Macaca fascicularis: one gene and its partner. The protein of the gene in region 2 purifies or fractionates together with the protein of the main gene of each other region. This does not show direct contact. Links are inferred from orthologs where the notes say so. Each region holds a gene or a part of one and is shown on either strand. Other genes may lie near its edges.

Evidence for each region.
Region 1: the proteins of PTPRR (region 2) and MAPK14 purify together in Homo sapiens (affinity purification with mass spectrometry; 4 studies listed by BioGRID and IntAct, counting the BioPlex papers as one, with this or other methods). This does not show direct contact. The link is inferred for Macaca fascicularis from reciprocal best matches to the Homo sapiens genes PTPRR and MAPK14.

The regions. Positions count from the first base shown.
Region 1 is NC_088378.1:135,562,938-135,579,465, forward strand, and holds part of MAPK14 (mitogen-activated protein kinase 14), read right to left. Parts: intron 14,581-16,528; coding exon of another isoform or gene 14,501-14,580; intron 10,363-14,500; coding exon 10,283-10,362; intron 7,979-10,282; coding exon 7,900-7,978; intron 3,096-7,899; coding exon 2,922-3,095; intron 2,157-2,921; coding exon 2,089-2,156; 3' UTR 1-2,088. UniProt on the Homo sapiens protein: Serine/threonine kinase which acts as an essential component of the MAP kinase signal transduction pathway.
Region 2 is NC_088385.1:77,648,630-77,665,773, forward strand, and holds the start of PTPRR (receptor-type tyrosine-protein phosphatase R), read right to left. Parts: upstream 8,119-17,144; 5' UTR 7,771-8,118; coding exon 7,713-7,770; intron 1-7,712. UniProt on the Homo sapiens protein: Sequesters mitogen-activated protein kinases (MAPKs) such as MAPK1, MAPK3 and MAPK14 in the cytoplasm in an inactive form.

The DNA of each region.
Region 1 (16,528 bases), on a different chromosome or scaffold from region 2:
CCTCCTAACACGTATGTGGTCACATGTGCAAAGACCTTTATTACAAAATATTCAGAGCAGTATTTCTGTAGGAAATCACACTAGCATTTACAACCAAAACATGGCTGACAAAATTCATCTTGCTGTGGATGGTGAGGATTTGAACTGCAATAAAGGAGATGAGGCCTTTACGTTCACTCTCCTTGAAAGGGGGAGAGTCCCGGCTGAGAGGGAATCAACATCAGTCTGTCTCCTTCCTTCTTGCTCCAGTTGACTCGGGGGTCCACCCGGTCCCTCTGGAGTACGTTTATCACTGCACTGATTGAGAAATGGAAACACCTTGGCCCAAATACAAGATTCTGTCACACAGCCAACACTGGAAGTGACTTTATACTTTCTTATTACACAAAAGGCTTAAATATACGAGTCCTCATGTAGAACAAAATGCCTGAAATTCAGCAAATTATGAAAACAACTCTTCTCCACCCCTGAGGATATTTTATCTTTATAAAGTTGAAAATACAAAATATTAAAATAATTTGCCCTTTCTCCCCATCAAAAGGAATCACATTTTCAAAGGATTCCTGCAATATACAAAATTCTGAAACAAAATTTATTTCTCCCCAAACCAAGAAGTCAATGATAAGCTGCCAAGAAGACCCTTTTCCATAGAGGAGTGGAAAAGACACCTTGTTACTTTTTTATTTTAAAGTAATCATATTTAGAGGAAGATAGCAGTTTTCTGGCCTTATGGGCTTTAATTTTTTACTTTGATTTTCAGCATTTCTTAGCATTAGTTATTGGGAGTGAAGAGAATAACTTGTTTCTGAAGTTTGGGATATTCCTGGGAAAAGCCCTGATCTTTCCCATGATAACTCCTCAAAAATAGTTGGTTGAAAACAGATGGCATGAATGAAAATGCTGTACATCCATCTGTTCCTCTTTTCATGATTTTCACATCAAAAGCACCTGAAGTATCAATTGTGTTCAACACAGAATAGCACTAGGGGCTGAAGAGAGGATGATGTCACTTGCCATAATATCAGCTGAGGTGACATGGGATCTAAACTACCCAAGAAGTCTTCACTGGCAAACCTGCCTGACACCAGGGCCTCCTGAAGAGAGCAGGACAAGCAGCTGTGCATGCTCAAATAGCAAGACATGCAAAACACATCCTCACTCTGCTAGAAATAGAGTACACAGGAAGTACATGACATCAAGAACCTGCTTCTGACTACTGGGGCAGATATTCAAGAAACCTCTGCACCAAAGGTGAAGGGTAAGCAGAGAAATGGCAACACCTGGGGGTGAGGGAGAAAGAGAGACGCACATATACGCATGCACTCACATGCACACATGACCGCCTCTGAAGGCTACCTGGTTACTCCGGGCCCACAAGCAGCCGTCCAACAACCCTCTCAACTTGCCCAGCTCAGAACTTCAGCAGCTGCAGTCTTTTAACTATCTACACTTTCTTCTCTCCTTTTAAGGCACAAACATATTTACAGTTTCAAATACACCTGTCAAGATCTGAGAACCATACGAAGCAAGTTAATCACAGGCTAGTGCACAGAAGCCGGTTGGTCCTTTTTGGCTGTACGCATCACTGAGGGACAGCGTTGGGTCTGAAGCAACCAGAAGGTGTGGGCCTTCTCTTGTGCCACTGTGGGATGTTGTCAAGTCTATGCCCCACCGTCAAGGTGGGGGTCACAGGAGAAGCCAAAGTGGCAAAAGCATGACCAGGATTGGGGACAATTCATATTTTTTTACTTTGCATTGAACATATTCCTAAAAAGACAGCAGCTTGCCTGCCTGAGCCAACTCTCAGAAAGAAGAGCAAGGTGGAGGCTGCCCTGAAGCATCCACAACCTCATGTAAAGTCACCACAACCTCATGTAAAGTCACTGTGATCATAGTTTGTTCATATTGTCTTACCTTCCCACAAAGACAGACACACACATGCACACACACTAACACGCGCACACACACCCCCTTCCACCATGGAGGAAATCTCTGCAACAAGAGGCACTTGAATGATATTTGGAGAGTTCCCATGAAAAGGCCTTCCCCTCACAGTGAAGTGGGATCGACAGAACAGAAACCAGGTGCTCAGGACTCCATCTCTTCTTGGTCGAGGGGCGGTGGCACAAAGCTGACGACTTCATCATAGGTCAGGCCTAGACATCGGGAAGGAAAAGTAAGACGTGAGAGTTTAGGCTGTTCTCTTTGCTGGCGAGCACTCTGACTTCACTCAAGATCCTTCCTCCCTGTCCAGGTAGTGGTATGATGGGCTACCTCACAGCTGGTATGTAATATTCTAATGGAGCACGTTATCACACAGAAGTTCGAGGGACATAGAAAAGAACCTTTTTTTTTCCTCATGTTTTTCATTGCTGAATGCCTCTTAAGTTCTCTACGGAGGTGCTCAAGAATGAAAGAGCACTCTCACAAGCTACGGCAACAGATGGTCTTGGCTCTTTGGATTTAACTGGAGTTCTGAACTTGTGTTTTATGGAAAGAATATGGGACTGGACACAGGATACACGGGTTCCATTCCTGGCTATGTCCCTAACTAGTTCTAAGTTAACTGATAAGACATAAATTCTCTTTGCCCCAGTTCTACTAACTGTAAAACTGTAAAAATATCCTATTCTTTACTTAGCTCAGAGAGATGTTGTAAATGCAATAACTCTGAAAACCTCAAATCTCCATGCAAAGCTCCTATATGTGAGGGGCTGTGCATAAAATCAGACCAGATGTTAAGTATCTCAAAGGTCCAGAGAGTATCACTGTCTACAACACTTTCCACCAGAGAACATATTCATTCTGCATTACAGACCTCAACTACAAGCTTTAGCAAGTTGGTTATGACCATTCAGTTTTTATTTTCCCACCGCTTTCGGTTAGTGGTACAAGATGTTAATCCTACCCTTAGGACTTACTTTTCCACTCATCTATAAGGAGGTCCCTGCTTTCAAAGGACTGATCATAAGGATCGGCCACTGGTTCATCATCAGGATCGTGGTACTGAGCAAAGTAGGCATGTGCAAGGGCTTGGGCTGCTGTAATTCTCTTATCTGAGTCCAATACAAGCATCTTCTCCAGCAAGTCGACAGCTATCAGTACCATAGACAGGAAGGAAAATAGTTTTTAATATGTTACAAAAAAGTATGCCTTATTAAGCAAACATAGTTTTGACCCTTCATATCCAAACAAGGAATTCTCCTCCAAAAATACCTACTCTAGGATATACTGGCCCTTTTCTCCTTTACGTGTGTGTGTGTATCTGTATTTTGTATGTTTAAAATGTTTTATTTTATTTTTGATTCGGGGGTACGCGTGCACATTTGTCACATGGGTCTCACGGATGGGGACTGGGCTTCCAGTGTGCCCAATAACCAAATAGTGAACATTGTGCCCAACAGGTTATTTCTCAACCCTCACCCTCCTCCTGTATTTTGTATTTTTAAAGAACATGTTACTAAAGAAGAATTTTTTTAAATGACTAGGATTGTGTTTGAACAGGCTTTTGTGGAACGTCAATGTAAAACTGCTACCAGTGTAGTCAAACTGTATAAAAACAAAAGCCTACAGCTACAGTAATCTAGAATAGGTAGGCAGGACTGTTTTTTGTGTGTTTGTTGTTGTTGTTTTTTGTCCCCCTTCGCTGTTTATTTACTAACATAAGACAAATAAATATTCATCAAACAGATCTTCAAACAGTGAATAAACTGGGGGTTTTACATGGTGATGGGGGTGAGACATGGTATTAAAATCAAAGGGAATTTTATTTAAAAAAATTTCACTATGAAAAATTTCAAATATACAGAAACAGAAAAGTAAAAACAAGGATAAAGTGAACACTCACATGCCCAGCATACAGATTCAACAATTAACATTTTTGTATTTATTTATATGTTTTTCTGAACTGTTTTAAAATAAAATTATAGACATGATACTTTACCCTCCCCAAATATTTCAACACAAAGACATCTTCCTATATAATCATAATACTGTTATCATCTCTGACAAATAATTTCTAAATATCATCTAAAATCCAGTTCATGTTAAAATTTCTCCAATTATTCCAACGTTGTCTTTTAGAACTAGTTTGTTCAAACCAGGATTCAATTAGGGGCCATGCACTGCAACTAACTGGATTTCTTTAGTCTCCCATAGTCTAGAATAATCTCCTTACTTCTAAGCCCTGTTCCTTCCCGATTCTGATCTGAAGAGACCCTCTGGTTGTCCTGAGAATGACTGTTTCTCGGGATGTGTCTGATTTTGCTTCTTTTGCTGTCATGTGTCTATACCCTGCTTTCCACTATCCCCTGTACTTCCCAAAAACCAGAAGTTAGGTAAGAATCAGGTCAAACATTTTCAGCAAAAATACAGGTGATGCCATGCATGTGATAATGCATTAAGGCCATCTGTCCCACTACTAATGAACTAAAATTGGTCACTGGGTTAAGATGTTTCCCCTTTGACCAAAGCAAGTAATCTGTGGGATATTTTGGTACCAAATAAATATCCGTTCCTTTCACTTATGGCTTTTTGCATTCACTGGGTTTCCTTTCCAAAAGCAATTATTTCTTTCATAAGGGGTTACAAAATGGTGATTTGTCTAACTCTGTATTTCAAATGAGTATTTTTGTGTTTCAGCATGGCAGCACTTGGGAGGATAAATACTGCCATATAACCAGTTATCACTGTGGTGAAATAGGCTTTTGAGACTTTGCAAATTACTTCTTAAATGTGGAGCGGGTGGGGGTAAATAGTGAAGAAGACAGCTTTCTATGGAGATCGACTGCTGTGTATACTGGAGGCTGTAAAACACCCCTGTCCTACAGCTTGAATTCCAGAGTAATCCACTGGAGAAATATGGGCTTCAGGGGGATACAGAAACAAAGTGAATATTCATGTGTCAATTCAAGTTCATTAGTTTACACTTTACAGTACAGTACTAGGTGAATGCCTGGATTATATATACATATATTCTTCTGATGGTCTTCTCTTCTTAGAAAAAGAAACCTTATCAGCTGTTGATTTTCTAATTGAACACAGATTATATGACAAGTCTCTATTACCCCTAGGGTAAAAACTACCATGTTCTTATAACCAATAAGGTCAGGGGCAAGAAAAAGATTCCTCAAAGATATTATTAGCTGGGCATGGTGTTATGCGCCTGTAGTCTCAGCTACTTGGGATAGGGAAGAGGAAGGATCACTTAAATGCAAGAGCTTGAGGTTTTAGTGAACCATGACTGTGCCACTGTACTCCAACCTGGGTGACAGAGTGAGATGCTATTTCTTAAAAAAAAAAATCTTGACAGATAAATATATACACTAACATCAAGGGGTAATTTAAGTTTTAATTCATGTTTTGGGAATAGCAGTGAAACAAAGTCAGTGGCTGACGAAACAGAGCTGTTAATATTTATATTGCTGGCATGTTCCTGCTCAGTTAATATGCTGGGCATGAGCTTGTGAGAGTAACACTGTACTCCATCTGCCCGGCAAGGGGAACCTCATTATATGACATCACTGTTTGGCAATGGGCTGTAAGGCACGTTTAAATGCTGAGAAGTACAGTGCTGAGCACCAGATGGACCAAAGCCTCCTTTCAACTCATTAGCAAAGTGGTATCTAGTTCTTTTGGCGGTTTCAACGTCATGATTTCAAAGAATGGGAAGACCTATCAGGAGCTATGTGACCTAAATAAGCTGCTGGAACACAAATATCTCCCCTCTCCCACTAAAACATGAATTAACAAATCTTTCTGAGTCCGTTAAGAGGGTGTCAGTGAGTACTGCCCTGTTTAAAACTTAGGGCTTAGGGCTGTTCTGGACAAATTCAGAACAGAATGACAGACAAGAAAGAACACAACGGGCCGGGTGCAGTGGCTCATGCCTGTAATCCCAGCACTTTGGGAGGCCGAGGCAGGCAGATCACGAGGTCAGGAGATTGAGACCATCCTGGCTAACACGGTGAAACCCAGTCTCTACTAAAGATACAAAAAATTAGCCAGGCGTGGTTGCACACGCTTGCTGTCGCAGCTACTTGGGAGGCTGAGACAGAAGAATCACTTGAATCCAGGAGGCGGAGCTTGTAATGAGCCAAGATCGTGCCACTGCACTACAGCCTGGGCGACAGAGCGAGACTCCGTCTCAAAAAAAAAAAAAAAAAAAAAAAAAAAAAAAAAAAAAAAGAAAGAACACAACATCTTTTCCCAACATCCTGTAGTACTTAAGGCTCAAAGAGAGCTTCTCAGCTCAAATAAATCATACAAAGTCAATTAGAGCATGCCAGGGCAGATGCAAACCTAAACCAATCTCAGTAGAATCGTACCTACCCCTGATGAGACTGTGGATTCATCCTTGGGCAGGAGAGCAACCCAGCTGAGATATGACATACTCTCCGTCTCCAAGGCTGACACGAACTCATCCACAACTGCCCAATACTTCAAAGAGCATGAGCATCTCTGCTATTGTAAGAATTATCACTGCGACACTAAAATTCCTCTCCATAACCACTATGGATGAAGTACTTAAAAAGGTAAAATCACCTAGCCTTCACCCCAGCTTCTAAAGAAGTCAGCATGGCTGTCGGCCCTCAAAAAGATAAAACTAAACCTGAAGCATAGCTGCCAAGACCCTTAAGAAGACACATGACCCACACAGATGCAAAGAAATGCAGTGAGATTTTAAAACATACCACGCAATACAATCTTAAGAAAAGTGAGAAGGTGGATTATACTCGTTATCATAGCATAGCTCCCTTCCCTATTGTAGGGAGGTCCTGGTCTGATCTTTCTGTGTCTACCATTAAACAGCACTGTCCACTGCCCTCTTCTAGAGTCAGGGAATGAGGCTCAGGCAAAGCAGCTTTCAGGGACCATCTGAAGCACACATCAGTCCTCCCCTTCAAAGAATATAGTCAGCCAGGCATGGTGGCTCACATCTGAATCCCAGCACTTTTGGAAGTTGAGGTGGGCAGATTGCATGAGCCCAGGAGACAAAGATTAGTAGATGGTGAGACCCTGTCTCTACAAATAATTCTTTAAAAAATTAGCCAGGCATGGGGATGCATGCCTGTAGTCCTAGCTATGTGGGAGGCTGAGGCAGGAGGATCACTGGAGCCCAGGAGTTTAAGCCTGCAGTGAGCCATGACTGTGCCACTGTACTCTAGCCTGGGTAACAGACTGAGACCCTGACACTACCAAAAAAAATAATAACAATAATAATAATAATAATAATAAAGCAATTGCATTTTTAGCCAAGGCAACACATATCTTCAACTGCCACCATCACTTCCCTCTGCCAAGGATCTTGAAGGCATATGAAGCCATTTCTTTAAGTTTAGGTAGCAAATAAGCTCCACAAAGAGGAGAGGATAGTTACACCTCTAAGGGGCAGAGAAAGAATAAGGGAGGGGAAAAGTTCATGTGTGTGGAAGATGACAGGATCTGTAGCAACGGCAGCTACTGACAGAGCAGAGCACCCTGCAGGGAGTTCCTGGGTGGGTCCTCTAAACACCCACCTGTACTTCAGTGGTTTTTGTCCTCCACTCAGGGACACCATGAATCCACAGCAGTTGTGAACAAGCTACAGCTTTCTTCTGTATCTGCTTCTTCCTGCCTCTCCAATCCTTTATCTCAACATTCCTATTACTTTCTCTCCTTTCTCCACTGTACCTGCCCATTCCCCCGACCCCAAGGTCTGTGATCATTTAAACATATAAGCATCTCATGTAATTAAAAAAAAATCTGACAACACAAATAGATAATAAAAGCCATATTTATCACCTTCCAAGATTCAACTAATGGTACGTTATTTGGTCAAAAGGAGAAACTCTTCTTCATATCCCCAATTTATATCATAACCAATTCAATATCCATGAGGTGAGGATATTGTCAACTTACCCAGGGGATTGGCACCAATAAATACATTCGCAAAGTTCATCTTCGGCATCTGCGTCAAAGACTGAATATAGTTTCTTGCCTGAAAAAACAAGGGTTTTCAGAATTACTTTGTTCAATAATGTTACTTCTCTCAAAGAAAGAACCTTGGTCCTGCTAAGGAACGAGTGTTAACTGACAAAGTCCACTAACTCCAATGTTTATAACTGTCTTTGATAAAACTTCTCCCTTACTGCTATCCTAACTTCCTAGTTATGATCATCACCTTCTTTATTCCTGCTATCTCTCACAGTTGCATTTCAAGTGAACGAGAATACTCATCAATCAAATTCTCTTTCATCAGCTTTCTGATCACAGGATGAGAAGTTTAAAAACTGAGGCCGAGATATGTAAGAAGTAGCCCTTTCTGAGACAGCCTTCTCAAAAAGCTAAAATTGTTAGAAGGGTTGGTATTCCCAAAGTAAGTCTTGGACCAGCAGTCTTTTGATAGTGCTGACTTCAGCAGGTGCTCTTAGCACATCAAAGGACATCAATATTAAACCTTGCTAACAAAGTAACACTGGTAACAAAAAAGTTAATATAAACTTAATATAACAGTCCTACCTCACAGGGTTGGAGTGAAGATTAGAGATAACAAACCTAGTACTTTCTTAACACAGTACTTGGTTCCAAGTGAGAGTTCAAGAAACATTATCTGCTATCCCACTATCACCTTCAGAGAAAAGCAAAGTCTGCTGTCTATCTTAACCACCTTTTTAAAATTTCTGTTTTAATACAGTCCAACAGTAAAGGTATGTATGTATATTTATGTTTACACATACACACACAAGGTTGTAAAAAGTTCTGGTTGCCCAGACACGGTGACTCACGCCTGTAATCCCAGCACTTTGGGAGGCCAAGGAGGGCAGATCACTTGAGCCCAGGGCTTTGAGACCAGCCTGGGTAACATGGTGAAAACTTGTCTCTAAAAACACAAAAAATTAGCCAGGCATGGTGATGCATGCCTGTGGTCCCAGCTACTTGGGAGGCTGAGGTAAGAGGATCACTTGAGCAGGGAGATGGAGCCCAGGAAGCTTGAGCACAGGAGGTGGAGGTTCCAGTGAGCTAAGATTGTGCCACTGCACTCCAGCTGGGGTGACAGAGTGAGATCCTATCTTAAAACAAAACAAAAACAAAAACAAAATCTGGTTGCTTGGGCAAGTTCACCTTATTTATTAAAAAATTTTTTTTAGAGACACAGTCTCTGTTCTGTTGCCTACGCTGGAGATCACTGGCACAATCACAGCTCACTATAGCCTCAAACTTCTGACTCCAGCAACCCTCCTGCCTCAGCTTCCCAAGTAGCTGAGACTGCAGGCGTGTGCTATCATGCCGTAATTTTTAAATTTTTTTGTAGACCTGCAGTATTGCTGTGTTGCCCAGGATGGTCTCAAACTCCTGGGCTCAACTGATCCTACCATCTCAGCTTCCAAAGTGCTGAGAATTGCAGATGCACGCCACCACGCCCAGCCTTCACCTTCTTAATGATTGCATGTGGAGTCAGGAGGAAAGGTCTGCTTTGAAAAGCAACTGAGAATCTTTCTGATTTGAAAAGAAAGTTGTAGGAATTGAATATATAAATGGCTGTAATCCCTTTCTACTTGAACATGTAAATAAAAAGATGAAGGGAAAACAGGTAAGAGACAATTATCTCATTCAGAGAACAGTCATCCCTTTAATAAAGATAAATCAACAGATGACCTGAATATAGCCGAAGTAGAAACAAAGTTGCTGGGAGGGGCTCTCTGTGATGCCAACCCGGTTCCCTAAAATATTAAGGGTATCTTAGAAAGAAAGAAGTGCCCCAATGACCTCTGATAATAAAACAAGAGTTAGACTAAGTAGTTAAGAATAAAGAAGGTACCTAACTGTACCAAAGTGTTTGTATTTATTTTATATTATTTGTGTATTTTCTTTTAAATATAGTATGTATTAGTACTGGATATTTCAGTTTTGTTTTGTTTTGTTTTTAAATAAAGAATTCTCTTTTGGTCATTAAAAAAGTGGATGAATTAGAAAGCATGCTAATGGACTTCAGTTAACTACCCTTCTGATAAAGGTCATGATAGTAGCACACCCTAGCTACAGGCATAGCACCTAGAAAGAAACCGCCTCACGAGCACTAAATTCACAAAACCAAATATAAAAATAACAATTTTCCATCCCCAATCTCACAAGACTGGATGACATTTTATCCCAAAAGTCAACATCCTGCAATAGCACATAGGCAGGCCTCCAGGCACATGCAAGCATCCAGTGATGTTAAAAACTGTTGGTTATACAGTGGCAATAAAATGAGAACGTGGCTTCTCAGTGCGACATCCCTGTACAGTCTCTTTGTTCTCACCTCATGGCTTGGCATCCTGTTAATGAGATAAGCGGGGGGTGTTCCCGTCAGACGCATAATCTGCTGAAGCTGGTTAATATCTTAGATGCCTAGTCAAGGGCATTGTTAAACATACAGTGCAAAAAATAATTTTCAACTCAAGTTTTTAAAAAGGTCAAAAAGCCACCCCTAAACAAACAAAAAAACCTACCCCCCATTCACCCTACCCGAGGACCCAAGGCTGCATGTTAAAGCTTCTGTGAATGACATGAGTCGCTTCTGTGAATGACATGAGTAACTAGGCATGTAGTCAGTGACTGGCCATGCAGATAAGAAAAATTACTTTTCTTTGGTTTTAGCATCATCTTTACTGTTAAATATTTTAGGTTCCCTGGAAACAGACTGCCCCTTGATCCAGGATGCCAGCCAGAGAACTGTTTTCAAGTACTGACGGCCAAAACCTGTTTGTGGGAGAAATATAGATGATTCTAAAATTTTTGACTCAAACTTTGAACAAAATAAAATATCCAACATATCCATTCAAGAAAGAGACTAAACTTTTGCAGCACGGGTTCTCCAAGGCACCATCCCTCCGAATTAAGATACACGTAGGCATCTGGGTTAATAAGCAATGCCACATTTCAAAGATATTATTTAGTGGTACATTTAAAATACTTGCCACAAACACAAAATGGTAAATGAAGAAAGAGGAGACGGGCAGAAGGTTAGAGGCTAATGGCAAAGGCAAAACAGAAGTCACAGGCTGCTGACAGTGTTAAAGCATGCCACATGATTTCCTCCACAAGTCTCTTCAACAAGCGAACAGACTAACCTCACTTAACAAACAGGTGGAGGGAAGTCTGCAAAATACTCTGCAAGTATCTGACAAGGGCAGAACTATGAGATTTTCTATATGTATAGGCACATATGTAAGCTGTACCACAACTTCTCTCTTTTAACTGTTCTATCAATGTTAATACAACTTGCCCTCTTCTAAAATGTAAGAACTGTTTATCATGTTCCTACCAAGAGCAGAAGTGAGGAGATTTTAAAAATCTTCAATGTAATTCAATAAACCCCTTTTGTAGTCCTTTTCTTGTTAACTACTAATTCCCTCATTCAGGTGAAGCATCATCTTCAATAAGCACCATGGCCAAGCAATTTTACTTCTTTGTGGCTTTCCCAAATAATTTTTCTACTTTAGCTCGTCCTCTGAACTGAACTCCCTAGTGGTCAGATGACTTAGCAGTAATCTGTTTAAGGCTGGCCACAGGGAGAGAGCTAGAGCCATGTGCTCCACGCTGCCTTTCACGCTCCCTAAACCCAAAGACAGAGGCCAGTAAATTCCAAAAGAGGTAGTAATTACACTTTGATTTGTGGTCCTTTTAAGAAACGTACCAGATCCATACCAGATGATGGAATTCTTTGTTTTGTTAGGAGTTTAGGAAACAGAATTTAGAGTTACCTTTAACAAATCACATAACAAATGACACTTTTCATGCCAAGGGAAGTAACAAAAAGGGGCCACAAAATAAACCAGCAATAGCAATATACCAGTTGGGTCTTAAAATGTAAAAATCCTCCACTTCTCCTTCCTTTCTGTGAACAATACCTGGCCTGCGCATTTTCTGTCTTTGTCTCCTTTAGTCAAAGAGGTTATTTTTTATATCCCCTTTCTGTCAAGAAGTTAGAAAGATTCTATTTCTGGAGGAAAATATGAATGAGTCAGGTCTTTGCTTTTTTATCTAATTTAATTAATTAGTTTATTTATTTTTAAAGACAAGGTCTTGCTCTGTCACCCAGGCTGGAGTGCAGTGCACGATCACCACTTCCTGCAGCCTCAAACTCCTGGCCTCAAGTGATCCTCCTGCCTCAGTCTCCCAAAGTGCTGTGAGGACAAATGTGAGCCACTGTGCCCAGTCTGCTTTTGCTTTCTTAACATGATTTTCTTGTTCTTTCACTGATTATTACAAAAACTGGGACATTAATCAAATGAATTCTCTTTCCTTGGCCTCCATCACAACCCATTTATACCTTTTCCTATGGCTCATCCTAATAGGTTCTCAATCCATTACTGCATTCTCTTACTCAGCATTCAATTTCTTCATAATTATTGGCATCGCTACTTCACTACTTTTCAGGAGAATGAAAATAGCTGTTGGCTTCCTATTTTCTGCATTCCTTCACTAATGTCTTTTTTCTTTAATTTTTAAAATTTTAAAAATCTCTGAACAATTTTACTCACCTGGCCTTATTTATCCATTATGTTACCACAAGATAAACGGTACTTGGGCCGTGTCGTGAACACGAAATTAATCTTGTCTACCCCTTAGGATGTTTAAACTACTTTTATCCACTTGCCCCAATTATGTAGGAAAAAACAAAAAAAACTTTCTTATTCTTACACTCAATATAATATTATTTGAGTCAAGTTCTGTATTCTGGTACTCAATTTCAGTAGAGCTGTTGAAATATATAATGTGCCTCATTTCACAGAGGGACCTCCACTATTAGGCTGTGCACCTAGTGTTTCTTTCTTAAAAATAAGTGATGGATTAATGAGAGATAAATACTATTGACTATTTTACCTAGACTTTGGTTTGAATTCCTTGCGACTAATAGTACATATCTATAGGGCAGATGGCTGGGATGGAAGAGAAGACTAAGAAAGGGCTGCTAAGAGTCACTCTCAGGAAAGAAATGAATTTGCTTGGTCTCATTAGCACTATTTATTAATTGAGCTCCTTCCCAGTCCTCCCTCTGCCCTTAGGGCCTCTTACTGTAAGACAGTGTTTCTAAGAAAAAACATAAAAAAAAAAAGTACTGCCCTTTCTAAGCATCATCTGATATCTTTGATTCACTCTAATCCAGCTTCTATATATCATAAAGGGGGAAAAAATACCTCTTTAGGTTGACATTGTGGTAACACTGACAACGACTTCCAAAATAGTATGTAATCACATGCGATTATAGTTTGGATCATGTTATCCAGCATCTGGGATCTATACTCAGCTCTGCCACGTGACTCAGTGCATGACGTGGAAAAGTCACTGCCTTTCTGGGCCTTTGCTTCTTTATCTTAAATAAGTAAATGAAACAAAATTCAGAGTGGAGGTTCAGAAATACACTGGGCTTTGGCATCCTTTCAAGAAATGTACCGGATACATACCAGATGACGGTATTCTTTATTTTGTCAGGAAGGTGAATGAACAGTTCCAACTCACCTACTTATGCCTGCCTCAAGCTACCCAGCAGTCTTCCCAACTAGGCAAAGGGCCCCTTCAGTCATAAATGTTGGGAGGAGAATCCAGGAAGGCATAACTGGAGCTTGGCTCCGTAGCTCATTTTTTCTTTTGTTCCACTGCCTGGCAGCAGATTGAGGGAAAAAGGAAAAAAAACTGGGCTTTCATGGCTTCTCTCATGCCTCTGGCCCAAGAAAATGACCAAGAGCAGGAAATCAAGCAAAAGTAAGCCAGAGTCACATTCCCATGGCTTCTGTCTAAGTCCCTGCTTAGAAGCAAGAAAGCACTAGCTCCAAACTCTGTCTCGGGTTATTTAACTTATAATTATAAGGCAATAGGAGGAAAATTTATAACCACATTCCTGTGGATCTGAGGTATCAAGAGTGGAGTTGTTTCTTCTGAGTGGGGTCTAGGGACTGGGTAGAAAGGTCCCTCTGTTGGGAACGAACATTTTACGTAGGATATGTGAGTATCTATTCTAAAACAATAAAAAATAACTTATGGGAAGGGGCAACAGTGTGCAGACAATGTACATTTTATTCTTTTAGTGATTAAGTTACACTAAATACATGGTGAAGTTCATGCGCTGAGAACAAACACTAGAAACAGTGAAAAGAGCTCTAGAGCATACGTGAAACTTCTGAGAAAGATGAAAGTCAGAGCTTGAGGACAGAGACACACATTTTGCATTAATCTCTTGGATTAATGAATTAGAATCTCAAATCTCATTGCTTTACTGGGATACTATTGCCTAATAGAGGCTCTCATGATCTTAGTGTGTACCCAGATAGAGAATAAAACACACTTGTGCATGCAAGCAGGCACACATGCGTGCACGCGCACACACACTCACACTATCTTATACCTCACTCATCCTGGAAGTCAGCACACAAAGGGTATGTGTGCTTACAAACACACCCAGGTCAAAGTACAGATTGGTAGAAGGCAAGTGGCAGAGGCTCCCAACAGGGCAGATAATTACAAAGCATCAACTCACAGACTCTGAGGAGATTTTCTTCAAAAGCTCAGCCCCTGGGGTTCCAACGAGTCTTAAAATGAGCTTCAACTGATCAATATCTAATGGTGGACCATAAAGGAAAATGTTGGGACGAAATAAAAATGAAAAACAAACAATGACAAACAAAACAAAAACAAACAAACAAAACACCCCGAGAACAAAAATGAAACACCCCAAACCTAGCCAACACGGTGAATCCCTCTAGGTCAAGGTTCCCGCAGGATGATCACTTCACGTAGGACATGCTCCTCCTGTACAAAGATTCAAAATGCTACCACACACGTATCCACTTTATATTCATTTTGTGCATCTGTCAACAGCATGTATCAGTAAAGTGAGGCAACGTTAGGTGGTTCTTAGCTGCCAAAGATAGCAGGTGAAAACACAAGAGCTTCACTCAGTTTACATTGCCCTCTTCATCTGCCATCACAGTGTCAGTAATCAGTCCAGGAAAGAGCACTGGTAATTAGAGGGCCACAGATAAGGAAAAAAGCAACAGAGCACAGGAGCTAGGGATGTACAAGTCTATTTATGAATATTCTCCTAAACGTGACCTAAAGAGCTTATGATATGACAGTGGAAGGCCTGTGAGACCCCAAAACCTGACCACTGGAGCACACCCTCTGGGAAGCCTCGCCTCTCCCACTGGCTACAGTAGGCAGAGCACGATGAGGGAGAGTCGCCAGCAGAGGGCGCTCTCCCACTGCATGTTCCCTCAGGAGCGCCAGGAGAACACAAACACAGGCAGTTTCAACCTTATAAAATGCAAATGAACAATGCTTAACAAATTCCACACATCCCAAAGGCTCTAAATAATAGGCCACAATGCTAAAACTTTTATCCTGGTAGCCAACACTTCAATGTATACTCAGAATGTATGTGCATGTGTTAACCAGAAGACAAAAATTTCCACTTGTTCTCATTGCTTTTAGTCTTACCTAAAAAGGAAGTTAAAAAGAGGGGGGAAAATATTATAAAATAGCTTTTAATATTTTATCTGAAAATGTGAATAGTTTATCCACGTTTATACTGACTGAAATTCCACGGAGGGAGAAGGGGAGGATGACTGTCTTCTGACCCATCAGGTTTTTCACATGACTAAATCCTCTTGGCCTCAGGTCTCAGCTTCAACTTCACCTCCTCAGGGAGGTCTCCCCTCAACACTCTATATACATGATACCCCACTCCCCCCCAATTCCTTCTCAGCATCATGCTTGATAACATCATAGTGCTTATCACAGCCTAGAATTACTTTGTTTGCTTACTGTCTGCCCCCTGTACTGGTCTACAGCTCTGTGAGGACAGGGGCCACTCTGCCTCTTCACCATTTATCCTCAGCCTAACATCTGGTACGTGATGGGTAGTCAAAATATTTGAGGAAAAGGTAGAGCAGGATGAAAGAAATTTTTGCTTATGGTTATACATATAAAGGCAACATAGCAACACTTAAAAACAGCAGTCTCTATAAGCCACAGGTGCCTACGTTATAGGAATAACTTATGCAGTAATTTGACATCTTGTCTTTTACTTTCTTTTAGATATGAAATCAGCTTAAACAGAAGAAAATTCTAGGCTGAAGTCAGCAAACCCCAATCTCTTCCTGTTTTATATATAAAGTTTTATTAGAACACAGCCATGTCCATTCATTTATGTACAGTCTACAGGTGTTTCCAATTACAACAAGCACAGTTACCATACGGTTCCCAAGCCTAAAATATTAACGACCTGGCCCTTTCAGAAAAGGTGTGCCAAATCCCATCCTAAACCCAAACAACTTGTGTTCTTTAGCAAGCAAAACAAACTAGAAACAAGTCCACTCACGTAAGTTATTTCTAAATTAAGAATAACAGGGAATTCTGTCATCTGCAAATGGTAAAAATCAGTGTGTTATAAAGGTTAAGATTTAAATACTGGCTTCTCAGTTCAAGATGTTGACAAGACAAAAATTTTGAAGCATATGTTCACAGGACAGAGCAGGAGTGGGGGTGGGATGGATACTGTCTTGCT
Region 2 (17,144 bases):
AAATAGGAAAAAATAATTCATGTCCCCAGTGAACTTGGTATTTGCTTCAGTGCAACTAGACATAGATCTAGACTGCTGCATAATATAAACAGTTTTGCTTTGCCATTGGTCCATGTGGCTGCAATTTTAATGGACATTAACATCTTAATATATTAAAGTCAAATGAGATTTGATTATGAGGAAAGTTTATGCAGTCATTATGAATAAAAATGATTTAAATGGAAAGCGCTAATGTTCACAATATAAATTTGCTAATTGTCTTTCTGTGGCAGATATCATTACTATAATAGGTACTTATAGTTACATTATATGGTACAGAAACATTAGAAAATTTGATCTTAAAATAATATTTTAGCATTACATCTTTCTTTTTCAAAACTACTAACATCCTTCATGTTGGGAAACATCAATGCTACTCTAAATGTGTCAGCATTTGTAAATGCCTTGAAGATGAAAAATGCACTCATGGGCCAAGTAGAATCTTTCAAATCCCCTTTTAAAGGAAAAATGGCTTTCACTAGCTTTTGAATTTGACTCACAGAACAACTTGTAAGATTTAACAATAAACTTACCATAAAATATAACATCCATGTTATCTCTAATACTAATGGCAATGAATGGGCTTTTGATTTTTGATCTGATCATCTCACATAAAGTGATTTTTAAATAATTCACAAAATAGTCTCCATTCCTCAGGTGTAAGAATGTCTTCTACAAGAAAAAATGTGTGGGATCCAAAAACTTTATGATTCCATAAAGACCATATACACATAAAATGAGAGAGAAAAATGTATACAACCACTCAAATATTCAGACATGTTGTATGATGATTTGGTTTTTATTTCAGAGAGAAAAGGAGGGTTGAATTATTTTTGGTCTTGATTTGTTGAAGCCACTGTCTCACACTCCCACCTGGTTTTGGATGTGTAAATGTCTTATATTTGCTCTAGGTAGATAATAACCAATCAGTAATCAGGGTTAGGAGTTCCGGGTCCATTCTTTAGTGGACAACTATCATGCTATGTTGCTTATCTAACTCTCTGAGCTCTTTAAATTAAAAAAAAAATTAATCTCATTCTATTCTTAAGTAGTACTGGAAAATCATGCAAGAATGTCTACACATCTAGAAAGAGTTCAGCACACAAGTACACTACAAATAACATCATGCCCATGGGACACAAACTTATCCTATGGACTATATTTAAATAGAAATTTTTCTGTCCCATCTCCATTTCCTTGTTGTCAATAAGTGTAAATTGCATTAAGAGAAGAGTAGTAAAGTCAATTATCTTCTTTATGGTCATGAAGATGACATATAATCTCTTGGTCAATGTAAATTAATTTATCATAATTCATTTTACCAAATATATTTAATATACGTATTCATTAATTGAATACTTACTGATGCCATACTAGGTAACCAGCATAGTTCTAGGGAATAAGTATATAGAAATAAAGCTGCAATTGTGTTATTGTTCTCAAAAAACTTCAGTATACAGGTTAAGTACATTGACAGAGGAATATACAGGTTTGAAAAGGGAAATGTAGGAGAGCTACTTGAATGAGGTGAGGCATTCAAGAAAAGAAGATTCTCGAAGTGGGCTATGCCTGATCAATATTTGAAGTTGGAGAAAGAGTCATCTAAAAAAGGAAGCAGAGTATTGGTATTTCAGAGAAGTAGAACAGTACGTGAAATGATTCAAGACATGGCAAACTAAAGGAAATTTTGTCTTGGTTTGACATTAGTGTGCAAAGGAGGGCATGATGAAAAGACCTCATCACAAAAGACTTTGCCTTGAGTTTGGAGTTTATTCTAAAAGAAAAGGAGATAGCTGTATTGAAGAATTTTATGGAGAAAGAATATGATCAGGTATGCTTTTAAGAGTTTCACCTCTTACATTATTATGAAGAATTTGATAGGAGGTCAACACAAGATATTATGTGAGAAATAAGGATCTGTCCCAAGGCAGTGACCTGAACATGGAGAGTAGAGAAGACCTTATGAGAAGAGTTGGTAACCTTTAAGATGAAAGAATTTGATAGGAGGTCAACACAAGATATTATGTGAGAAATAAGGATCTGTCCCAAGGCAGTGACCTGAACATGGAGAGTAGAGAAGACCTTATGAGAAGAGTTGGTAACCTTTAAGATGAAAGTAGCAAAGGGAGGATCTAGGTTGAATTATTCGTTTCAGACCTGGGTCATTGTAAGGAATCCTGGTGTTACTCACAATATTAGGGAATGTTTCTAAGAGTAATTGTGATGAGAAGTGTTGAGTAAAAACAGTTGAATATAAGACTATTGTGGGGTCAGGCACTGTGGCTCACACCTGTAATCCCAGCGCTCTCTGAGGTTGAGGCAGGAGGATTGCTTGAGCCCAGGAGGTCGAGGCTGCAGGGAACCATGATTGCAACGCTGCACTCAAGCTTGGGCGACAGAGTGAGGCCCTGTCTCTAACAACAATAACAACAACAATAACAACAAAAAGATTACTATGGAATATACAATGACTTCTAGGTAATTTTAAATATAGAACCAGAGTTCGGGAGAGATAACTGAGATGGAAATGTGGATTTTGGAATCTTTGACATGCATATCTGAGTATAATTATCCAGGGAGATTGTATACAGAGAAAAATAACAAAAAATCAATGAGAAGATGTAGAGAGCACTGACCATTAAATAATACACAGCAGAAGACCTAGAAGTACAAACTGAGAAATGGCTGGAGAGATAAGAGGGAAGCTAGGGAGTAATGACTGTCTGTGGAAGTCAAGTGAGGAAAAATTTTAAAATTTGGAAAGGGGTCAAAATAGATGAGTACTATGGAAATGCATTGATAACGAGAATGTACATTATAATGACCTATTTAATTATGTTCAACCATAGGATGATAGGATGAGGACTGAAGTTGATAGAGAAGTAGGTGAGAAATAAAGAAGAAAAGGCTGAATGTGCATAATGCATCCCAGAATTTTTACAAGGTGTTAGGCAGGATGTGATTTTCAATGGAATATGCGAGGTGCTATTCTATTGGAGGTGCTAGAAATACGTCATTTCAAATATACATGTTCCTATGTCTCTTAAGTACCTAAGAAGCAAATCGGTTTTTTCCAGTGCATTAGACTCTCTGTTTGTAAATTTGCTGATCCCTGTAGCCATTCCTACATGTACAAGGCATTTCACTGAGAAGTGAAAATGTAGCCAACAGCAAAGCATTTAGGCTGCACAACATCTGGCAATCAGTTTGAAAGACTTTTTTCACTCAGTTGATTAGTAGCTCTGGTCTAACACAAACCCATCCTTTATTGCCCTTCAGTTCACAATGACAGCAAAATCTGTTAGAGATAGTATGTTTTGGGGGCATGTGAGGCAACATGAGTTTTGGACAAATGAGCTCCATTTAAGTCCATTCTGGAAGTGGCTAAGTTGACTATGTGTGTTTTTTCTGGGTGTTAAGAATATATTAAATGCAAAAAGAAGAGACCAGAAATATCACTTATCATTATTTATTTAACATATTTATTTAATCTTTAGAAAGATTTTATGTCAGGAACTGCCCCCAGGTACTAAGTAGCCCAGGATCTCCAATACATGTAACAATAAACAAAACAGGCAAAAATATGGGCCCTAAATGGGCTTACATTTTAATACAGAGAGGGGAAACTACAATAAACAAAAGTAAAATAATTGTATGTTAGGTGGTGAAGACCTCTGGGGAAAAAATAGTTAATAAGCAGGGAAAGGGTGCTAGAATTTTTATCTGGGCGATGGGGGGAAGGGAAGATGAAATATGAAATAGGATAACCTCACTAAGAAGGTAATATTTAATTAAAGACCTAAAATTATTGTGGGATTAAGTTATGGAGATACCTGGAGAAAGAAAAAAGCAAAAGAGTATGAAAGGGTGAGTGCCTGCCATCTTCTAGAAACAGAAGGATAAATACGGCTGGAGAGAGATTTAAAAAAGAGATAATATCATAGAAATAATGTGAAGAGAGACTCTAGACCATTGTAAGGTCTATATTGAGTGATTTTCAATAGGAAAAACAAATTCTAGAGTTCTAAGGAACATCTTAAAATCTTAAAATATATCATTTACCTGTTAGTCTATCCTTTCTTTTGAGGGTGGTACTTCTGCAAATCACCTCCCAGATCTTCTTGGCACCATCATAGAATACCTTTCTTCTCAGAGACTAGAGAAATTGACTATGCACTTCTCTGAGAGTGAAGAGATAGTTTCAGGAGATACACTGAAGGCAGTCTTTGTGCCATTCAAAAAGGCTGATAGTGAGAGCAACACGGAAATTTGAAAGAACCTTTTCCAGAACTCAAAGAGAAATCTATGGATTGAAATCAGTTTCTGTATTTTGTTAGCAAAACATTCCCTAGGAAAAAGAAAGCTTTCACATGAGAATTTTTGATATATCTCAAAAATGTACTCTTTTGCAACTAAAATACAACCCTATAAATAATATCTCCTCAAACGGAATATGCTTCTTTGGACAAAGAAAGAGGAGAAATGCTGAAGAAAATAAGCTCTGTGGATCTTCCACATAATATTCTTTTACCATTCGTATTATTGTGATGGCTTTTAATTGCCTTCTTGAATATTCCTGAAGTGGTATTTTCAACTGGAGTTTATATATTAAACTGGTTCACAGAAAGAGTAAAGAATAAGGACAGTTAGGTAAAAAGTATTTTGTACCACTAACTTAATCAATGGTGGCTTCACCTATTGTAGAACCAGTGTATAATTTTATACAGTATGCAGCCACGGGTCTGGAAACCTGGGCTTTTATCCTGACTATGCTATTAACTAACATTTTAATACTCTAGATCTTCATTTTCTCACCTGTAAAATAAGCAGTTGAATGGACAATAACCACAGCTTCCTTGTTAGGTGATCTATAAAAATCGGCTGCCATGGGTAGAGTTGTGTCCAGCTTCTCTAACAAGAACCAAGCTTAGTAATCCTTTAGTGTTAATTTACCCAGAGATGCCACTTACACAGCACTGTACCCACTCCTCATTTTTCTCCCACAGCTATTATAGACCACATACTTCTCCCTAGCCAGAATTCAGCGTCAAAATCTTCTTTTTTCCCCTGACAGTGTCTTAGGCAACCATAACCAAAATAATGGGAGATGGCACTCAAGTTGCAAGCAATTTGCTACTTATCATTAGGGGCATGGTTATATTGAAGGCAACAGTTCCTAGTATAGCTAAAAAGAACACTTACATCCCATCAACCCTTTCCTCCCATCTCTAAAGCATTGTAAGATGTCATCAGTTCCACCAGCATAAAGCAGTTGCTGATACCTTGGGCATAACCAAAATGGATCAATTAGCTTTACAATTAAAGAGACGTAAATGTATAGAATTCATTTCCCTTCTTTATGAAGTCGGCCTCTGTCCTGAGAGAAAAGTCTTCCACAAAAGTAACAAACTCACACCTTCAACAAGTAGAGATACTAGTGATTTCTTGATCTTTGTCATCCTGTCCACTTATTTTGTTAATCTCCAAATGTATAGAAGCTTAGACCAAGGAGCTATGTTTGTTTCAGTTCTGATGAAAAGCCCTAACAATGTCATTAGATAACTGTGATAAATTTTAATCTGATAACAGCTTGTGACCCACAAATTGCTGTTTAAAATTAAAATGCATTTAAAATACAACTGGCAAGAGAACTATAATATTAAACTTGCAATCTGTTGTGATAAAACACCAATATATTTCACCATATTAAATATGAATACAATGAATATTCAGCATCTTGCAATTGAAATATAAAAATGTCCTTAAATGCATTGTCTTATTAAATTAAAATTGGTTGATTAATCTTACTTTTTATCTTTGTTTTGCAGTTAAAAAGTTGAAGTAGAGATGGATTGGATTGGCTTTGGTAATACACCCTTTGGCAGAGCTCCAGGTATAATCTAGGGCTACAAGCTTTTAGGTTTCTCATTTGATGAGCAAAAGTCCTCTATTTTTCTCATCCCCAATATTCATCTACAGTAAATTAAGACATGTTTTTCACATGCTTAAAAGTTTATTTATAACTTTTAAGATATAATTACTCAAGGTGTATTAAATGTTATCTTTAAACTCTTTTATATGTTAGTTTTGAAAAAAATGACTACGCTGCTATTGTTGGCAGACCAACTAAATCATTGCTAACTTAGTAAGAATTGAGATTTTTCTGTAATGAATGTTTGTATCAGTCTATTATTAAGCAATACTATAAATAAAACTCAACCCAATGTGTATGTTTTTGTCCCATATTTCAGCATTGAAGAATTGTATGTGGTAATGAAAGAACTCACTACAGCTGTTTGCAAATAATTTAATAATCAAGTCATAGCTATTTTCTGGTTTTCAAAATGTACCAAAGAACTATTGAAAACCCCACAATATAACATCATAATTATAACAATTAACATGTGTATTTAATAATAGCTTTAATAACCCTATGCATTATATGCTCAAAAGATTCATGATACATTTAAATAATAGCATTAGCTGGAATAAGAAAGAACCATATTTCACTCCCACTATTGTACACAGAGAATAAAATTCACCCACTCTTTTAAAAAAGATACCGCAAGGATTGTAATTTCAAACAATTATTTTTACTCATTACCCCTAGAACATAGTATACGCTCAGCAAATGTTGGTTGAAGGAATGAATGGATATGTGTGATTGGATGAGACGCACACTCAGGGAAAATGCCTAGTCTCTGGTTGTTACAGGACTGCTGCATGGACAACTGCTGTCACAGTAGGGTTTCTAAAATATCTCTGCCACATTTTATTTCGGTTCATGTGTATGTGACAACGATAAGGAATTCAGCCCAGCAAGTCCTCTGCATAAAATAGAGGTGCTATGTATCCAAAAAGCAGGGACACCACATATAATATCTCTCAGGTTTGCTTCCACACGATACTTGATATTGATTCTGGTGCCTCAAATCTATTTATATTTGGGAGCAGTCTCACTGTTACTCTTGGTTACACCTTATCAAATCTGTCCTAGGGACAGTGCCTATCCCAGGGTTTGAACTGTAATTTTTATTTTTATTTATTTTTTAGTGCCAGCGGACGCTAGCCATGGTGCTGAAAGAGACAAGAGGATTCTATTTGAAACCTTTCCTTCCTCTTATTGGTTTAGAAAATTCGAGTGACAAGAGCAGGGGCCAAAGGAGCCTGGAGCAGCATCACTAATGTGAACCATGTATTTCGATCTTTGGGGCGGAGATGTGGTCCATCAGGTTACAGCCAATGCCTTCCTATGGGCGCTCGCTAGACCAAGAGACCTTAAGAATGTAGCCGCTGCAGTAGAAAAGCTTACATCCAGCAGAATGTCTTGTCCCTCTCCTGAAAAACTGACAGTTAAGTGCATAGCCTAGAAACAAGAGCAGGGAATCTAGACGGAGGGGAGGCGAAGGGGGGAGCAAACCTGCATTCATATTGAAAATGTTCACTAGTTTCGTGTAAGGGAAAGAAAAATCAAAATCTAATTTTAGCTTAAGTTTTCGGCCTCAGTTTTCCAACAGGTGCACGACTCCCTCACCCCTTTCCTGTCAGGTACTGTCCTGCTTTACCTTTTTAGAAAGGCTTTCTTCGCAAGACAAGCTTTTCCTAGAGTCCTTAAGCATGTGCAGTTGCCCATCTCATGCACAGCTCCGGCTCTACGCCTGGCAACCCCTTACCTGCAGTGTGAAGATTAAGGAGCAGGCACAGCGCAGGGAAGCCGACTGCTCTCCACATAGTGTTTGCATTGAGAGGTGGACGAGAAACTCCACCACGACCCCTCTTCAGGTAAAGTACTATTAGAAAGAGCCACCGCCAAGGGTCTTCTAGTCTCCGGGATTCGTTCGCAGGTCCTCGGCTGGGGTTTGCAGAGCAGTCAGTCTGTGGCGCCGACACAAACCAGCACCGGCTTCAACCTCCCTAAGAGAGGGAGAGAGGAAGAAGAGTAGGAGGTTGCGGGCAAGGGGAACAGAAGCGCTCAGAGGCGGCAAATGCCTGGCCTTCTGGACGCCCAGAAGCCAAGGCGGAGACGGCAGGGTGGACTCCGCGCCAGCCCAGCAGCCCAGCAGCAGCGCCGCGGCTACTGAGCATGCCCAGCGCCGGCCCTCACGAGGCACGGGAGTTTCAAAGTGAAATTCCGCTTCTCCGGGTCTTAGCGGCGGCTTGGAGCAGAGTAGGCTCCATCGCTGGGGTGGTGGTGGTGAGGGGTGGGGGAAGGGGGAAGTGCGGGGGAGGCGCTTGCTGTGGTTACTAGGGACCCAGCGTCCATCAAAAATCCGAGGGTGGGGTGTAGCTGGGTGAGAGTAGATGGGGGTATGACCAGAGAAGCCAGAGGGGGGAGCTGATGACAGCGTCAACCATGCCACCTACCCTACTCTTTCCCCAAATCTTGATTTACAAGTGGACCGAGCTCACTGCCTAGAATTGGCGTTTGCAGATTGACCAGCTTCCCAGGACTCGCCTACAGGAATAGAGGTGTCTTCCACTACTGAGCATTCTGGCTGCTTGGGGAAAGCGTTCCCAAGGCAGCTTGCTTGGTGTAAGCGTAACCATATATCTCGCGAGCGCCTTCGTCCTTCCTACAGCTTCCCCCTCTTTGCTTCTCTTTCCACTCTTTCCAGCTCAATCCCTGTATTTAAACTTTCTTCTGACTCAAGTCCTCACAGTGTGACAGAAAGAAGTGAGACGATACTTTTAGACTAGTAGAATATATCCATGTGATTGAAGCAAAAGAAGGCACCTTTTTGTTTCATGGAGGTAATTATCTTTAGTTTCCCTTTTACTCTTTATGGTGAAAGATAATAGATCACTTCAGTGCCGGGGCTCATCCGGCCCAGCTCTGTGGGTCTAGGGAGGCTACCACAGTCTGCCTAATGTAGATGGTTTTTTATCCCCCCATCTAAGTCTTTGGAGTGTGGAAAGCGTTATTAGTCATGGCTAATTGCCGCTAGTCAAGTCAAGAAGGCCCTCAGCTAGACTTCTCTCTTTTAACTATCCCAGGGCCACTGCCCTTTTTGCCTCTGTGTCTTCATGGATGTTGTTGCGTCTTTCCTATTTTCCTCCACTTGCACCACTACCACACTAGAGTTTTCGAAGGTGTAATGTTGGTCTCACTTTTCCAGAAAGCCCTAACTCTAACTAACTCTAGATTACAGTGATCTTTCTCTTCCATAACACTTGTTTAGCAGTGCCTCATGTTATTCTTTCAGACAGTTCATTTATCTGTGGTTTGCTTTACAGTACATTGAAGGCTCCATAAGAACTGCTGAATTTTGGATTCCATTAAATTGAATAAAGTTGTCCTAGCCAAATAATTGGGGCTAACGAGTGCTCATCGAGTTGAGCTGCACATCTCATTCAGTGCTTTCTTTCTCCATCCTCTGTGAATTGAGACAACTAATGGGAAATAGGCTATCCACCAGAGCTTAAATTAGGTGGGACCTTGCAAGATCAGAAAGCCCAGACGGTACCATTTATATCTTTTATGATTTATGTCAGCTTCAGCTCTGAGAGCAAGGCCAGGAAGCACTCCAACAAGTGGAAGAGGGAGACAATGAGATGTATTTTTAATAACTTGACAGGCCTTCTCTGCTGAAAATAGAGACATATGCAGTCCCTCTCTAGCAAGTGCTGTACCCCCTACTCCCCCATGCGTGTGGCACACTCCATTTCTGTGGCACTATCATTTCACCCCAAACCACTCTAAGCTGCAACCTCTTCTCCTATTCCTGATTCACTGTCCTCCATTTTACTTTTCTACTTACATATCACTTTCTAACAAACCAAAATAATTACTTATAAAATCCATTGTTTAGTATCTATTTCCTTACTCCCCCAAAAATGGAATTTGAACTCCAATGGTGAAGAACTTTGATGATTTTATTCACTGAACATTCCCAACTCCCTAGAACAATGCTTCATGCAAAATAGATACTCAGAAATGAATGAAAATAATAGTTGATAAAGTTCAATACTGACAATTAACTCTGAAATTCTTACTGAATCAAACTTTGAGATAATTTATTTAGCAGTCTGTAAAGCTTAGAAGAGTAACTCTTCTCGTCTAACATCTGGTACTAGAACTGCTGCAGGGCTGGAGGTTAGGGAAAAATAATTGTATTCCACTTACAATAGGTCTATTATTCTTATTTTCTTGTTTCCTAAAATAACTAACTATCAAACTTACATAGGTCTCCAAGAATAAAATGTACTTACTTATGGTAATGAAACAATGCTGCAGTAATGTTCTGAACCCCTTCCTTTTCCACAGATAATTCCAACATTTATTGGTGGGGCATTTACAATTTCCATTATTATAATTGACTATGACTTTGCCAAAAAGCATCCTGCTGGCAATGTATTTTGCCCAGGGCTACAGGTAGCTGAATTATTAAACTATGCATGAAAATTCCTTTAGCAGCAAAATTTTCCAATTTCCAATTTGGCCAGATATATCATTAGAATAGTTCAGCATGGTAAAAATAACCCTGAGTGGACTGTAATTTTGGTGACTAGACATTCATTATTAATTTACTTAAAAATGATAAAGTAACAAAAAATGTCATATGCCTGTGTGAGTCAATCTAATATCATACTTGTAATGGCTTCAATTCACTTTTTCACTAATTGGCTAATTCACTCATTGCTGTTCATGAAGCCAAACAGCAATGAGTGAATTAGCCAATTAATGAAAAAGTCAACCACTTAACTCATTCAGAAATATTCTGAGTCAACAGGTGCTGTTTTTCCTTAACTGTGATCTAATACTAGAGTAAAGGTGACTTGGTGTTTTGGAATAAAAGCTTCATTAAAATACTGCATCAGGGTTTTTAAAAGTTAGTTGTAATTCAAAGAAGCATGGAAATTACTATGAGAGAACCATAAAAATTAGTAGTGGCCTACAGAGCTATGTCAGAAAAGAATCGTTTACATTTGACAAGATAAATTAAAAATATCATATGGACTTTTCCTCCACATAAGATGCATCATTTCTTTTCCTTATGAGGTGAGTCTTGGAGAAAATTTACACAAGAAAGAAGCCTTTCAGAGCCTGCCCTCAAAATAGATTTGACCATTATGAGCATCCATATTTACTTCTCTATAAGTGGGTGAAAATTATTCATGTCAGCCATCTTTCCTTAAGACACTTTAAATTGAGAAATCAGATCCATTGATTGCAAGGATCTCCTACTTAACTTATTTAGGTTACTATTATTTAAGTATAATTATGGCTAACATTGTGCTTCCTGTGTGCCAGGCTCTATTCTAAGCATTTAGATGTCCTATTTAAACATTATCATATTTCTACAAGAGGGTACTATAATGATCTCATTTTAGAGATAAGACAGTTGAGGCATGGAGAAGTAACTTGCCCAAAATCAAGTAGTAAGTAATCAGTTAAAAAGTAAATTGATAGAATTAAGATGTACCTCTGATAATTTGATACCAAACTACTATATTACACTACCTCTAATAACACACACACATGCACACACATGCACACACACACTCAGTTGTAGGTGGCTCACTAGAACTAGATGATTAGATCAGGGCTGGGCAGGAGATACCTGACCCCACAGTAAAGCTCTGTGGTGAGGAACACTCATAGGAGATTATCGCCAGGAGAATGAGAGACACGCTTGTGGTAGTCGACTCTGGGCCCTACCATCTAGTGAACAAAGACAGCAATTAAAATCATGCTTAGAGGAACTGTGTTAGAAAGATGCTTCAGAGGGAATGGAGAATAATGAAGGAAATGATTTCTTCTTTGGAGGGTGGGAGCAGAGGAGGGGATGGGCAGCAGGCAAGAAACTGGTGGGCAACAGGAAATCAACTGAGTCTGGCTGGATAAGTAGGTTCTGACTGCTCTACATAAAGAGAAAGGCCATGGAATTGTGTGAGCCAGTGGCAGAGATATAAAGCAACAAAATGGATTCAAGGAACTTCTGAACATGTAAGGGAACGATAGGTAACAGTGATCAACACCTCATTAAGATTTGTTCTGTGCTTGCCCTTTCCCATCTTTTATGCCGTCACTTTATCAATCCCAAAGTCTATATCCTTTTGTCTGAGAGCTATCTTTTATAAGAGGAGAAAAGAAGAAAAATAATTTCTTTTTACAAAGTAAATAATTGATTTGAATTAAGCTATGGTCATAGTGGAATGGCTCAGGTTGAAAAGGAATGAATTGGAAATTCACAGATGAAAATATCATGTTCAGGTATATAAATTTACCATTCTTTTTTTAGTATTTTTCCAACCGTAACAAGAAGAACGATCTACCCTTTTGCATAAGCATACAGTGAAGAAAACAATGAAGTAGCAAGGGGGCAATAAGAATAGGGGAAGAAAAGCACTATAATTCCAAAAATACATATTATCACATTGAACTCTCACAAGAGTTCTGTGAAGTATTTTTTTTTTTTTTTTGTAATAGAGGAGAAAACTGAAGCTCAATGAAGCTAGTAATTTGCCTATAGTCATCCAGTTGGTAAGTGGTGAAGTTGGGATTAGAACTCAGTAGGGTGACCCCAGCACTATGCTGTTACCGGCTGTATTGTACAACATCTCTGCTTAATGACAGAACTTATTTTAATACTTAAATTGAAAACAGTGTTCTTATCCCAAGACACAGACTTCAAGATGGATAACAATATTACATTTTATAACTTAACACAGTTGCACTTTTGTTACATTTTTCCACTTAAAGCATTTGATACACACACACAAAGGCAGCAATATGTATCCTAAGGGAAAAAATTAGGTACCTAAAACAAGGCAGATAAACTTTTCTGTGCATATGTGAATTATGCTGTTGTAGTAAAACACAAAATACCAAAAGCAGAAAGGCTATAGATACCTATAGATTCTGCTATTGGTTCATCATTAAAATTTTATTCAAAATGGAGAACAAAGTTTCCTTGGAGCTAGTCCTTGGCACCAATGTATTATATTGTCATCTATTCTGGCACTGCAAAGGTCAGATTCATCTAAGATGTCAGTAATAGATTTATTTACAAACCTCTGACTGTCCTGCATTAGCTCTCTGTTTATCCCAAGACACTAATCAGGCTACACTTATACCATCCATCATCCTGAGCAGTACCCAGATGTCACAGCCCTCTGTTATGGCTTAGACTATGTACTTTGAGCATTCAAATACATTTTCTGCAATCCTTGGCCATTCTTTTAGATTTCCTTGAATGAGGCCACTTGGGAACAACTTATTCACACAATAGCCTGGGACACTAAGAATATCCTGGGATTTTTAACTATGGGTTGATTAGATCATTTAATCTTGCTCTCATTTCTGTACCTTATTTTCTCACATAACTACAAGATGATTTAAAAGAACATCACCCAAATATAGGCCTTAATGCCTCCCTCACTGACTCTTCATTCTTTAAAACTAAAAGTTTTAAGGCTGAGCGCAGTAGCTCACACCTGTAATCCCAGCATGTTGGGAGTCTGAGGTGGGTGGATTACCTGAGGTTATGAGTCCAAAACTTGGCCTGACCTGGCCAACATGGTGAAATCCTGTCTCTATGAAAATTCAAAAATTAGCCGGGCATGATGGTGGATGCCTGTAATCCCAGCTACTTGGGAGGCTGAGGTGGGAGAATCCGTTGAACCCAGGAGGCGGAGGTTGCAGTGAGCCGAGATAGCACCATTACATTCCAGCCTGGGCAACAGAGCAAGACTCCATCTCAAAATAATAAATAAACAAACAAATAAATAAATAAATAAAAGTTTAAACGTTTTAAAAATACTTATTTCTTTCCCTCATTCTTGCTCCTGGATGTCTATAATCGAGAATGGGGTTGTTTATTAGTATATAGTTTGGGGTTGCAAAGCATTTCAGAAGGAATTTTTTTTTCTTGTTAGACACCTGCACCTCTATAACATGAAGAGTTAGAGAAAATCTTACTAAAAATGTCCATTGACTATAACACAACCCCTAATACACCCAGACAATGAAGCAGTTGTTTATGGTCTTAAATTCAACTCATTCATCAGAAACCATATGTGATAGGGAAACACTGGTGCCTATGTTCAGTGAAGTCAAGTCATTTGAAGTCACGTTATGGTAGGATGTACTATATCACATATATTCCAAAAACAGTGGAATTATCTGCTGACATTTCATTGATATGTTGTTTGATTTCAAATAATTAAACTATATATTGAGTACCTACGATGCACCAGGAAGTGTATTAAGTACTTGGGATATATTGTTGAACAAAATAGACAAACATTTTTGCTTTAGCTTAAATTGTAAGTGAAATAAATGTACCTTTAATAGTAAATATAAGAAATAAGTAAATTATATAGTATCATGGAAATTGTTGACTGCGATGAGAAACACAAAAAGTAGATCAAAGTAAGGGAGATTAGGCAGTTGGGGGTGGGGTAGTGGGAAGAATATGAGTGCAAGGAGTTTGCAGAATTAAGTAGGGTCTTTAAGTAGAGAAAGTGAGCATTGAGCAAGGACTTGGAAGTTGAAATTAGCTGAGCAGATACCTGGTTAAAGAACTTCCCAGACAGAGGGAATAGCTACAGCAAAGACTCTCAAGATTCCATAGATATTTTAACCAATCTGGAAAAAAAAACCCCCACAGTATCAGAAATAATTTTCAGCATGTCTCTAAATATATAAAATATATAAAGAGAAATCCAGTTGGCAAATTGCCAAATTAGTTTAAATGAATATTTTTACACCAGAGGTTTTCATTGATTCATGTTTCACTGATTTCAAATACAACTGTGAGATAGCAAAACTGTTAACAAGATTCAGAAATTGGGACTATCCAAAGCCAACTAATGTACCAACTAAGAAATCTGCTCTTTATTCCATGTTTTTTGGTGTAAAATAAACACCTTATTGATTTTGAAATGTGGGTGCATTTTTTGATATTTTATTCACTTTGAGAAACAAAGGAAAACTTTGTGAGCTGCCCTTATACTAAAACCACTAGCAAAAAGTCAAGCAAACATAATATGAATGAGAAACATAAGTAGGAAATGAGACTGGGTGCGGTGGCTCACACCTGTAATCCCAGCACTTTGGGAGGTCGAGGCGGATGGATCACCTGAGGTCCGGAGTTTGAGACCAGGCTAGCCAACAGGGTGAAACTGTCTCTACTAAAAATACAAAAATTAGCCAGGTGTGGTGGCATGTGCCTATAATCCCAGCTACCTAGGAGACTGAGGCAGGAGAATCGCTTGAATCTGGGAGGCAGAGGTTGCAGTGAGCTGAGATCATACCACTGCACTCCAGCCTTGGTGACAGAGTGAGACTCTGTCTTTAAAAAAAAAAAAGAAAGAAAAGAAAAGAAAGAAAGAAATATAAGCAGGAAAAGAATGAGAAAAATGCCCTAGCAAGCATTTTTGTTTTCTCGGCCTCCTGTGTGGCAAATGACTTCAGAATATTTGGTTAGTTATTGTCCAAATTCTGGAGGAAAATGGTTTGACAAATTCCTTGTTTTTTAGGATGGCTTAAGCAAATCATTTTGATACTTTATTATTTTTGGATGAAATAGAAGGTAGCTTCATTTTATTTTTAAATAAAATTCCTTTTTTATTCAATTTAATGTGATAGGTGCCCATCAAAATACTACTTTACTGTTAATATAAATAGAAAATATAAACCATTTCTCTTACAAAGGTGTCATTTGGAACCTCTAATCTTGGAAGTACTTTACTTTAGGAAAGATATCTACCCTCAAATTTGACTTCCAAACTTAAACTAAAATCATATATTAGGTTTATATCATAGAGATTAGAAAATGAACTCCCTTCAAAACCAAATTCAGCTCCAAAACTGGAAATAAAATGAAATTTTATTTGAATCAGTCACAAACATAATATATAGAAGTCCAATTTTACCTCACTATTTCTAGAAAGTAGGCAAAAACGAGGATATTTCTGAAGTTTTCCTTCATCTAAATTAATTCTCTTCAGAATGAAATTGAACATTGTAAATTACAGAATTTTGTCATTTTGTGTCTACTGCACAATAGACAATAGAGAAAAAACAGAATAGAATGTGATCTGTGGATTCTACCAACTGGTAATAAATACAGTTAACGCTTTGGCGTAGCTGGTTTTCTTCTACCCTCATCTTGGGAATGTGTGTGTCTTTGCATGCATGTATCTATAATTATTGTTAGTTTTAACATTATTTTTACATCATTGGGATCATGCTATGAATTTGGAAACTATTTATTTACTTAATAATACTGTGAGATAATTCCATGTCATTAAAGTTTGTTCACAATCATATTTTTAATTGTTGCAGAGCATCGTGCCATAGCATTATATCATTGGCTTCTTATTTTTTTGAGCTCTTCCTCAATTCAGATGAATTGCTTCAGGAGAGCAAGGAAAGACATTCAGATAATGCTCACTTACCGTACTACATAATCGAAATTATTACATATTTATAATATATTTCCAACGTGGCAGTTCTAATCTGGCTCTGGTGAAACCATCACCCCATTAAAAGAAATTATCTAAAGTGTCAAAGGCAGGCATCAGGAAGGGAACATCAGGGATTCTGAGTCATACCTCAATCCCCAGCAAATTAAGGATAATCTAAATGTGTGCCTTCCAATCACGAACCTGTCTATTTTAAGAATGACGGCTAAAAGCAGGGTTTGAATAAGGAGTCTTCATTTGTATTTTTCATGATCCCTGGATAACTCAATTGACTAACACTGATATAATTACAACAGATACCATTGTGTAAAAAGTACTATAATATGAATTGTATAAACAAGAGTTAAAAGTAATTGTGCTATTTCTTTTATGTTTAGAATTTTTTTTCTTTGCTTCTCATCTTTTTAAAAATATTTTTTATTTCTCTAGGTTTTTGGGGAACAGGTGGTATTTGGTTACGTAAGTTCTTTAGTGGTGATTTTTGAGATTTTGGTGCATCCATCACCCAAGCAGTATACACTGAACCCTATTTGTAGTCTTTTACCTTCACCTCTTCCTACCCTTTCCCAGTGAGTCACTGAAGTCCATTATGTCATTCTGATGTCTTTGCATCCCCATACCTTAGCTTCTGCATATGAATGAGAAATACTATGTTTGGTTTTCCATTCCTGAGT